Linked DNA regions of Oryzias latipes. The protein of the gene in region 1 purifies or fractionates together with the protein of each later gene. This does not show direct contact. Links are inferred from orthologs where the notes say so. Each region holds a gene or a part of one and is shown on either strand. Other genes may lie near its edges.

Evidence for each region.
Region 2: the proteins of fbxl12 (region 1) and styx purify together in Homo sapiens (affinity purification with mass spectrometry; 4 studies listed by BioGRID and IntAct, with this or other methods). This does not show direct contact. The link is inferred for Oryzias latipes from reciprocal best matches to the Homo sapiens genes FBXL12 and STYX.

Annotation. Positions count from the first base shown.
Region 1 is NC_019868.2:6,646,318-6,650,702, forward strand, and holds the start of fbxl12 (F-box/LRR-repeat protein 12), read left to right. Parts: upstream 1-1,467; 5' UTR 1,468-1,728; coding exon 1,729-1,829; intron 1,830-1,997; coding exon 1,998-2,073; intron 2,074-2,468; coding exon 2,469-3,515; 3' UTR 3,516-4,385. Other genes in the region: cops6 (COP9 signalosome complex subunit 6), read right to left, coding at 1-2, 1,380-1,422. UniProt on the Homo sapiens protein: Substrate-recognition component of the SCF (SKP1-CUL1-F-box protein)-type E3 ubiquitin ligase complex.
Region 2 is NC_019861.2:26,241,977-26,246,307, forward strand, and holds the start of styx (serine/threonine/tyrosine-interacting protein), read left to right. Parts: upstream 1-1,227; 5' UTR 1,228-1,400; coding exon 1,401-1,457; intron 1,458-1,808; coding exon 1,809-1,841; intron 1,842-1,953; coding exon 1,954-2,007; intron 2,008-2,113; coding exon 2,114-2,211; intron 2,212-2,299; coding exon 2,300-2,360; intron 2,361-2,444; coding exon 2,445-2,481; intron 2,482-2,556; coding exon 2,557-2,596; intron 2,597-3,275; coding exon 3,276-3,326; intron 3,327-3,956; coding exon 3,957-4,029; intron 4,030-4,331. UniProt on the Homo sapiens protein: Catalytically inactive phosphatase. Acts as a nuclear anchor for MAPK1/MAPK3 (ERK1/ERK2). Modulates cell-fate decisions and cell migration by spatiotemporal regulation of MAPK1/MAPK3 (ERK1/ERK2).

The DNA.
Region 1 (4,385 bases):
GGCTGCAGACACACAAACAGCAACAACTTCAACAAAACAGGAAATACAAGACACAAGGAACACAACGTAGATTTTTCACAATAAGATATAGTATGACATATCAAATAATTGGCTGTCGTGTTGATGAGACATTTACAAATAAAAAATAATCCTAAAACAATTCAAGAGAGGATAACACCTGCCTAAACATATTCATACAGGCCTGAAGATTGATCTTTAAACCTAAGCTGTTTACCTTTTAGTTTTATCTGTCATTTTTGTAGTTAATCAATTGATAAAGGAAAAAATTCATCGGATGTATGACAATGTCCAACACATCAGCAGCTGCTCATGTTTTATTTTACACAAAGATGCTCATCTTAAGCAGGTTGAGCACTTTTTCATCCTGTAGATGTCACAGACTGAATAAAATGGCTTCGGTCTGATGTATCTGAGGTTGCAGGGGTCTGCAACCTGAGGCTCCAGAGCCACATGCGGCTATAAAGACATTCAAAAAAATTGAACAAATACTTAATTAGTTTAACTAAGCAAATATTCTTATAGTCTACTGTCAAGTTGTTGCTTTGAGTCAAAGTTCTTAAAATATATAATTGCATTTACATGTATAGATTTTTATTTTTATTTGGATTTTAAACCAATGCACACATCTTTATGTTGATAGTAAAAGGATGAATGCTCACCTAAAATTAAATCTGTTGAAGCAGGAGGATCTTTTGACTTAGGGTGCATTTTATTTTGAAAGGAACGTGTATGTGCTGCTGTCTGAAGTAAAGAAGTTAAACTTGCTCTTTTTTAGTAAAATATAACACCTTTGTGATTCTATTATTGTCGACATGTAAAAGAAAGCTACCTGTTACAATAATGAATAAAAAGCCACTGAAGTAAACAAACAAAAAGTGTATTTTTCTAAATGTTTAGGCCAGACTTTGTGGCTCTCGTTGGGTTTTGATCTGTAAGAATCTGGACCAAGTGGCTCGTTTCCCGTTAAAGGTCTCAGCCCCCTACTCTAGATGAATGAATACAGTAGCATTTGGGAAACTATCAAGTTGTTTTCCTTCTTTAAACAGCGCTCGGTTAATCTGGATTTAGATTATATAGCATTTTAAGGATGGGTACATTGTTAAGTGACTGTATTTATAAACTCAGCTGCGCATTACTGAGTTAGATCAGAGAAAGCGACAGTAAATCCAGAATGATTCATCACTGACTGACCGTTAACCTGCTTATCATGTTAGCAAAGCTTTTGTAGCCAGAAGCTTTAGCGCCGCCAAATCTTTCCGGCTCACAAACCAGCAGAGACACAAAACACGCGGGGCCCTTGGTGCGCGCGTACATGTTAACGTCGGGCTCCAACGGTCTGATTTAAGACAAACACTTGCCTGCCCCGTCTACCTCCATTCCTCCACCATTGCTGGTCGCCATCTTGTCCGGTAGACTGCGCGTGCGCAGTGGACTGTTGACCTAGCGAACGATAGGTGGCAACATCACATATTTTCTGAACATTTATCAATAAGGCGCGCGGCAGAGCTGATGTCATAAACATTTTTAAAATTTAAATAACTACTTAGACGTAGACTGAGTATGTTCAGAGAAACCCAGGCCCGTTGCTTTGAACTGTTAAATGAACTGAACTGTTGCTAACCAGAAGCTGTTTCCTGGGGATTACTGATTAGAGCGCAACCCGTGTGCATCCGGAAATTAGTCCGTGTGGAAGGTTTTGTTTACAGAATGGATGAATTCAAAGGCTGCGATTTGGATTACTTCCCCGAAAACATCTTGATAGACGTGTTGTCGTTTTTGAGCGTCAGAGAGCTTGTTCGAGCTGGAAGGTATGAAAATGTGGCCCTGCTGAATGTGTTGGATTTTTGGTTCCCTGTTCTTTCTATACAATGCAGCAGCATGCACAGACAGACAGAGCCAGCTGGATGATCTCCCTTTGTTGTTGTTGTTGAGACTTCTGTCTGGCGAGTTTCTAATGGTTTCCACATTTTCTCCAGGGTTTGTAAGAGATGGAAACGGCTGGTTAAAGACCAAAGACTGTGGAGAACAGTAGATCTGACTGCTTGGAAAGGGGTAGGACTGTGGTTTCAGTTCCTGAATATTAAGTATTAATATTAATTCTTCTGTAATCGAATGGACACAGTAATAAACATGGATAAAAAATATGTGATGTTTGAAACAACCGTGCTAAGGCTTTCTTTTGTTAGTTTATGTCCAATTTTTTTAAACCTTCACTAAAAACAGTGACAAAGGTGCACTTTTTTTCTTGTATTATTATTTCTACTATAATTGGACACGTTATTTAAAATGTTGTTAATTGTCCTTTGTTAGGAAAGTAAGTCCCAAAAAAAAAATAGGCCTCCTTTTAGGTTTCTGATGTGCATGTGTTTGAGCTTATATCTCATTATTTATTTAATCAGTTTTCTCCTCGTTATTGTCACATGGTCTCTTCTTTTTTCTTACATCAGGTGACATCTCGCATCCTTTGGGTCTTGCTGCGTCAGTACTTTGGTTGTGGACTGAGGTGCCTTCGCCTGCGTGGCTTGCTGCTTTCTGCCCGGGGTGGAACCTTTCTCTCAGAGTCCTGGCTCAAAGCTTTGTCCACTAAATGCCCTCGCTTGAGTAAGCTATGCCTTCTACATGCAGACTTGAGAACCTTACCCAACTGCCACCTCTTGCCTCCTTCTCTACGTGTGCTGGAGCTCCGTGGTTGTGAGCTCCCTCAGGGCTTTTTTTGTCAGGCCAAGAGTTCCTCACCTGCTTTTCCTCAGGACAGAGCAGTGGCTACTTCCAGCGCTGGTGGTTCACAGCAAGGAAAAAATCCAAAAGTCAAAGGGCAGGCCTCGCCTTTAGGCATTAGTATTGAGAGTCTAGTTCTTAACAATGTGCCCTCTTTCACAGATCAGCACCTGCAGAGTCTGACATCATGGGAGAGGCTTTGTCGTTTAGAACTTCGCGACACATTTCGTATAACAGCAAATGGGCTTAGAAGCTGTGCAGCAAAAGATGGCCTTTCAGGTATGGAGGGCCTGTCCAAGCTCAAGTTTTTGGAGTTAGGTATTACAGCAAGGCAAGGCTACCAGTTGCAGATGGCCTCCCTTGGGCTGGGCGCGGGATGGCTTGGATTAGAGGAGCTGAGTCTCGGTGGTAAAGAGGTAGGGCCGGGTTTGCTCTGTGCCAGCCGCTTGAAAGATTTGAAGCGCCTGTGCTTGTGGGCCTGCACGCTCGGTGAGCTGCAGATCGTGCGCAGCTGCAGGATGCTCCGCGGACTCCGCCAGCTCCAGTTTGAAGATGTTGTCTTCCAGCCTCGGCAGAGTCCACCGGCAGAAGAGGAGGAAAGGAGCAACGAAGAACAGCAAGATGGAGAGGAACATTCAGAGATGGATAACAACGATGACAACAAGACACAAGACACGAATGATCCTTTTCCAAGCCTTAGGCGCTCATTGGCCGTCATGCTGCCTTCTTGTAGTCTGGTTTTTACCAACTGCTCTGTTCAAATAAACGCAGACTGATAGAGGTCTCAACTAATGCTCTGTTCTGACAACAAGTCCATGTAAATCTTTGGGAGACTGTTGTAGTTTAGTACAAACAGCAATCGGCACCCAATAATCTGAAAATCATCATGGTTAAAGCCCCACTGTCTGTGTGAATTGAATAAAATGGAATTCCACTTTGATGTTGGTGAGTTCACAAAGGCGCATCGAAGGGGGGAGTGCACCCCCCTGTCCATCCAAAAAGAGGGCAAAAAAAAAAAGATTTACTTACAGGTTAAATGGAGTTCATTGTGTAAAGCTCTTTTAAGCCTTATCCAAATTAGAAATAATTATTTCATATTTTTTGGAACTCTGGGTAAAAAAACATGTAAATAAGTGTTGCATTTTTTAAAATAGATGTTTAAATAGATTCTTTCCGAATTGACGTTCTCCAATTAACCAAAATTAAGGCTTCATGGTGTGTTGTGATAAAAGATGAAAGCTAACTTTTAAACTCATCAAGGTGAATTACACTGAGATTGTTCACTGACACAGGATTAGGCTAATTCATCACACTGATGGAAACATCAAAAACCTTTTGTCACCCCTTTTTGAAAAATGTGCCTCTTAGACTGACAGTTATTAAGAAGAGGTGTTGAATCATGAATGTTTTGAAGGTTTAAACAGAGTTTACTGTCACAAAAAGATGTATCATTCTATCTTTAAGCAGTTTCTTTTTTCAGGTGAATCAATGGGTTCTTTTTTTCAAAAAGAAGAAATACTGATAAGTGAGTCATTTCAAGGTGCATCCTTAGGTCGTGTTACAAACGTAGAAAGCAGAACTGTCACTGCTTGACTATCTGACATGCATGTGTTGGTTGCAAAGCCAAAAAACTAAAGCGAGCTGAA
Region 2 (4,331 bases), on another chromosome or scaffold:
TTTGGTTTACCTCCGTACAAGCAAATGTCAGAGCTGTCACAGGAAGTTAATCCAGAGAACTGGAACAAGTTGGTAGTACAGTGAGAACCAGCTTGTCCAGCATCAGATCTACCAAACATTTTTTTCTCAATTCTAATATCTGATCTTTCGGAAACCTGGTTGACTTTGGCATGTAACCCAAGCTCACAAATGGACCAATAGAGACTAGTTAAAAGTTTAAATTTAAACCCAAAATTAAAGCATATTGTCTAACCTTTTTATAAATATAGAAACGTTTGTTTTGTTTAGCAAATCCTAATGCTTAGCAGTCCATTGCATGTTTTCCAATTCAGTATTACAGAGAATGTTAACACAGTGGATCACACTGTAAACACAAGAGAAGAACTCCACCTAGAATTTCCAATGAACGCCTCTCCTTTGCCACGCGGCAAATTCTCTGCTCCACAACTGTCCAGAAATGTTTTCAAAAGCTTGTCGCCCCAGACTTGTGCAACTACCTCTGGCTGCTGTGTGCAGAATGTGGCTTGGTTCAACGTGGGCGGGATTGAACGTCTTCATTTGTGGGTTCGTGAGATCATTCAGAGATTCTCTTGGTACAGTGAGATTCACTCCTGCTGCGAGGGCTGTGTCTGAATGGGGCCTTTTTATATCTTTGTGGATAGCAACGATGTTGCTCACCGTTTTGAGGATCTATAAGCTTGCGGGAGAGAGTGTAAACAAATGAGTGTTGGAATATCAACGTCCTGGTACTTCTGCGCCAACAATCCCGCCCACAAACCCAGAATTGAATTTCTGATGAGCTATTGCTGCGCTGCAGAAAATATGTCTGCATTTTGATTTTTGCTAAAAAATAAATAAATTATTATTAATAATAATAATAATAATAATAATAATAATAATAATAATAATAATAATAATAATAATAATAATAATAATAATAATAATAATAATAATAATAATAATAATAATAGACCACTGGATACGATTTTACAATAGATAAAAATGTAATTGGAATAGGACTTTAAAAAAAACTATACTTTCAGCAAAGTGAGTTTTTAAATTTGATGTAAGAACACAACCATACCATGTTTGAATATACTGGTCGTGTTAATTATCAACATTTCAATCAATAGAAAAAGGTAAGTGCCCTGTGGAGGCCAATTATGTCCCACCTAAAAGCACGCGCGAAACCGCAAAGACAACAAACAAATGGTCCTTTCGGCTTTCCGTACTGGGCGCTTTCTTCCCGTCGAGTTGTAAAGTCACATGACACACATGTCAGAGGGAAGCATGGCGGACATGCATGTGTACTCTGAAAACAAACTACTTCGATATTCCAGCTAACCCAACAGCGAAGACTATCGTTAGGGTGCGTGTGAAACCGGGCTGAAGACACCGCAATGGACGGAGAAGTCAAACTCCAGTTTCCGTCTCTGCCGGCGACAAAGGAAGACCTGGTGAGCAGCGCCTGACGACGTGTCAGCTAGTACCTGCCAGTAGTAACTCTTCGCCTCCTCCTGTCTAACTCCGCTCTTTCAAGGGGAAATCTATTAGCTATTTATTTGTTGTAATTTTTTGTACATTTATAATATTAACTTCTAAAATGTTAAAAGTGTTTGGCCGTTGAAAGACGTTATTTGAAAAAAGTGTCGTCGAGCGAAGACCGATGCATTATTAGCCTAGCTAGCATTAGCCACCTTTGCACAGAGAGTAATCTAAACTAAACATGTTTGCTCCTAGTTTTACAGAAATACAGCTGAGTTTGTTTCGGTTTTTTTTTCTTTTTCAAAATGTTCTTCCTGTTACAGGACTGGGCTTACCCAATGAGACGAGATATGCAGGTGTGTGCGCTGTAGTTGTAGAATTCAGCTTTGTTCAATTCACCTGATAGAAAATATGTTTAAACATCTATTGAAAAAGAGAAAATATTTCATCTTTTTTGTGTTTTTGTAGGAGATTTTACCAGGACTGTTTTTAGGGCCTTACTCTGCTGCAATGAAAAGCAAGGTATTCACTACTTTGCATGTTTTTCAACATGAAAACAGAAGTGTTTTATTTATTTATTTTAAACAATGATTTGGATATCTCCCACCTTATGCTTCTGTTTCTCCAGCTGCCAATTCTTGAGACGCATGGTATAACCCACATTGTATGTGTCCGCCAAGATATCGAAGCCAATTTTATCAAACCCAATTTCCCTCACACATTTAGGTAACCACGCTTGCATTACGTTGTCCTTATAGGAATTAAATGTCATAGAAGTTCATAGGTAAACATAGAAATGCGTCTATTTTATTAGATATTTGGTGTTGGATATTGCTGACAATCCAGTGGAAAATATAATCCGCTATTTCCCTATGGTAAGACGCATTTTCTTCTTATTGATTGTTTTGACATTAAAAGTTTGCTGTTATGATGTTCAATTTTTTTTTTTTTTTTTTTAGACTAAAGAATTTATTGACAGCTGCTTAGCAGCAGAAGGTAAGGAATCATTTAGTCTGAACTATTCATGTAAATTTTAAACATTAAGTCAACTGTTTGGTTTTGCTCCTCTAGGAAAGGTACTTGTTCATGGTAATGCAGGGATATCAAGAAGGTAAGACTTTCTGCGGCATTCTTTTTCAATTCAACCTTGATATAAACTAGAATATATATATATATATCATTTTTTTAATTAGATGAAGCAACTTCTAGACTAAATTGTGATACATTACCTCAGTGACACTTTCAGTAACTGTGTTATCTCATCAAAGGAAAGTTATAGTGGGTTGATATTTGCAAAATCACTTTTCTCCAAACCTATTCAGATCATTTATGTGAGCAAAAACCAGATCAGGTGATTTTTATCGTGCCAAAAGTCTCCAATCCTTCATAAGTTTTGTGTTCAACTTGCTGATTTGTTGTTGACTGCTTTATCATAAACTTACCACCATCAGAATATGTTGCTTCTCTTTCAATCTTTCCTTGAAAATGCTAAATCAGTTTTTGATTTCGATTTAAACTGTTTGTTGGTGTCTAAAGAATTTTTACTCATGAAAGTTTCAATTTAGTTAAGTTTAAAGTACTGGTTATGGATAAACTAAAATATGTCTATATTTGATTAGAAATTTGACAAATGTAATCAAATTAAATGTAAAAACCAGCCTGAAATCCAATTGATTTTGGTGTTTTGTTTCAGTGTTGCTTTTAAAGCTAAAACAAGGCTACATGCATTTGAAGTCTGTCGGTTTAAAGAATCTGTTCAGTTTGCCTGTTTTATCTCTCTTTATTTCCAGTGCTGCCTTAGTGATTGCATACCTTATGGAAACATTCGGGATAAAATACAGGTAAGTGTATTTGTCTTTTGTTTGACCTCATTCATCAAAAGGCCATATTCTGTTCTGCAGATTCAAAGTACTAGTATGCTTTAGCCATAACATCCAATAAATCAAAACCTCTAAATGCGGATGCATCTATTTAAAGTATAATCATTTGCTGGGAAAATCTTCGTTAATGTTAGTTTGATGCTAGTTTGTTAAAGGTATTTCAAGTTCCCTGTAGAAGGTCCTCACCCAAACCAGAAACCTGCTTTAATGGATCGACAGTTGATTCTATTTACAATCAGTTAGAATGTAACTGTGCTGCATTTGAATAAACACACAGAGCGGTTTCTGTTCACGGTATCAGTCCCGTCAGCTGACACTTTGATAAACCAAACTCTGTCAGAAATGCATTCTCCAATCCGTATTGGTGAATTCTAATCTGAAATCTCCTGGGAGGTCTGGACAAAATGGTACTTGAACAAACATTATGGCTTTACTTTATCAGATGTCCACAGATGAACATAAAACCGCACAAACAAGATGCTTATTTATTATTACTTTTTTTTTTTAAGAGGACTCCTTTTACCCTGTGGAGGAAATAAGGTTTTAGTTTGTAATTTATGTCTCAGTGGCTGTGGTTGCAACTGTCTGCAGGGATGCATTCACCCATGTCCAAGAGAGGAGGTTCTGCATCAACCCCAACGTGGGCTTTGTACATCAACTACAGGTAAAGCCTGGATCAGAACCAACACGCTCATCTGTCCAGGTAGCTGCTTGACAGCAGGTGTAGATGCTGCTTTGTCCGCATAGTCGGCAGGATTTTGAGTGTAAAGGATTTGATGAATGTTTATCAATGGATGCAAAATGATGCAGCTTTTACTTTTACTCACAAAAACCGGATAAATATGTTGTGACTGCATTAAGAACGAGTCATCAAGTGTTTTACTTTCATAATTCTTAAACTCTAAATTAGTTTAAGTTGCTTTTCCACTGTATGGGACTAATCTGACTGTACCCTAACGCGTGCTA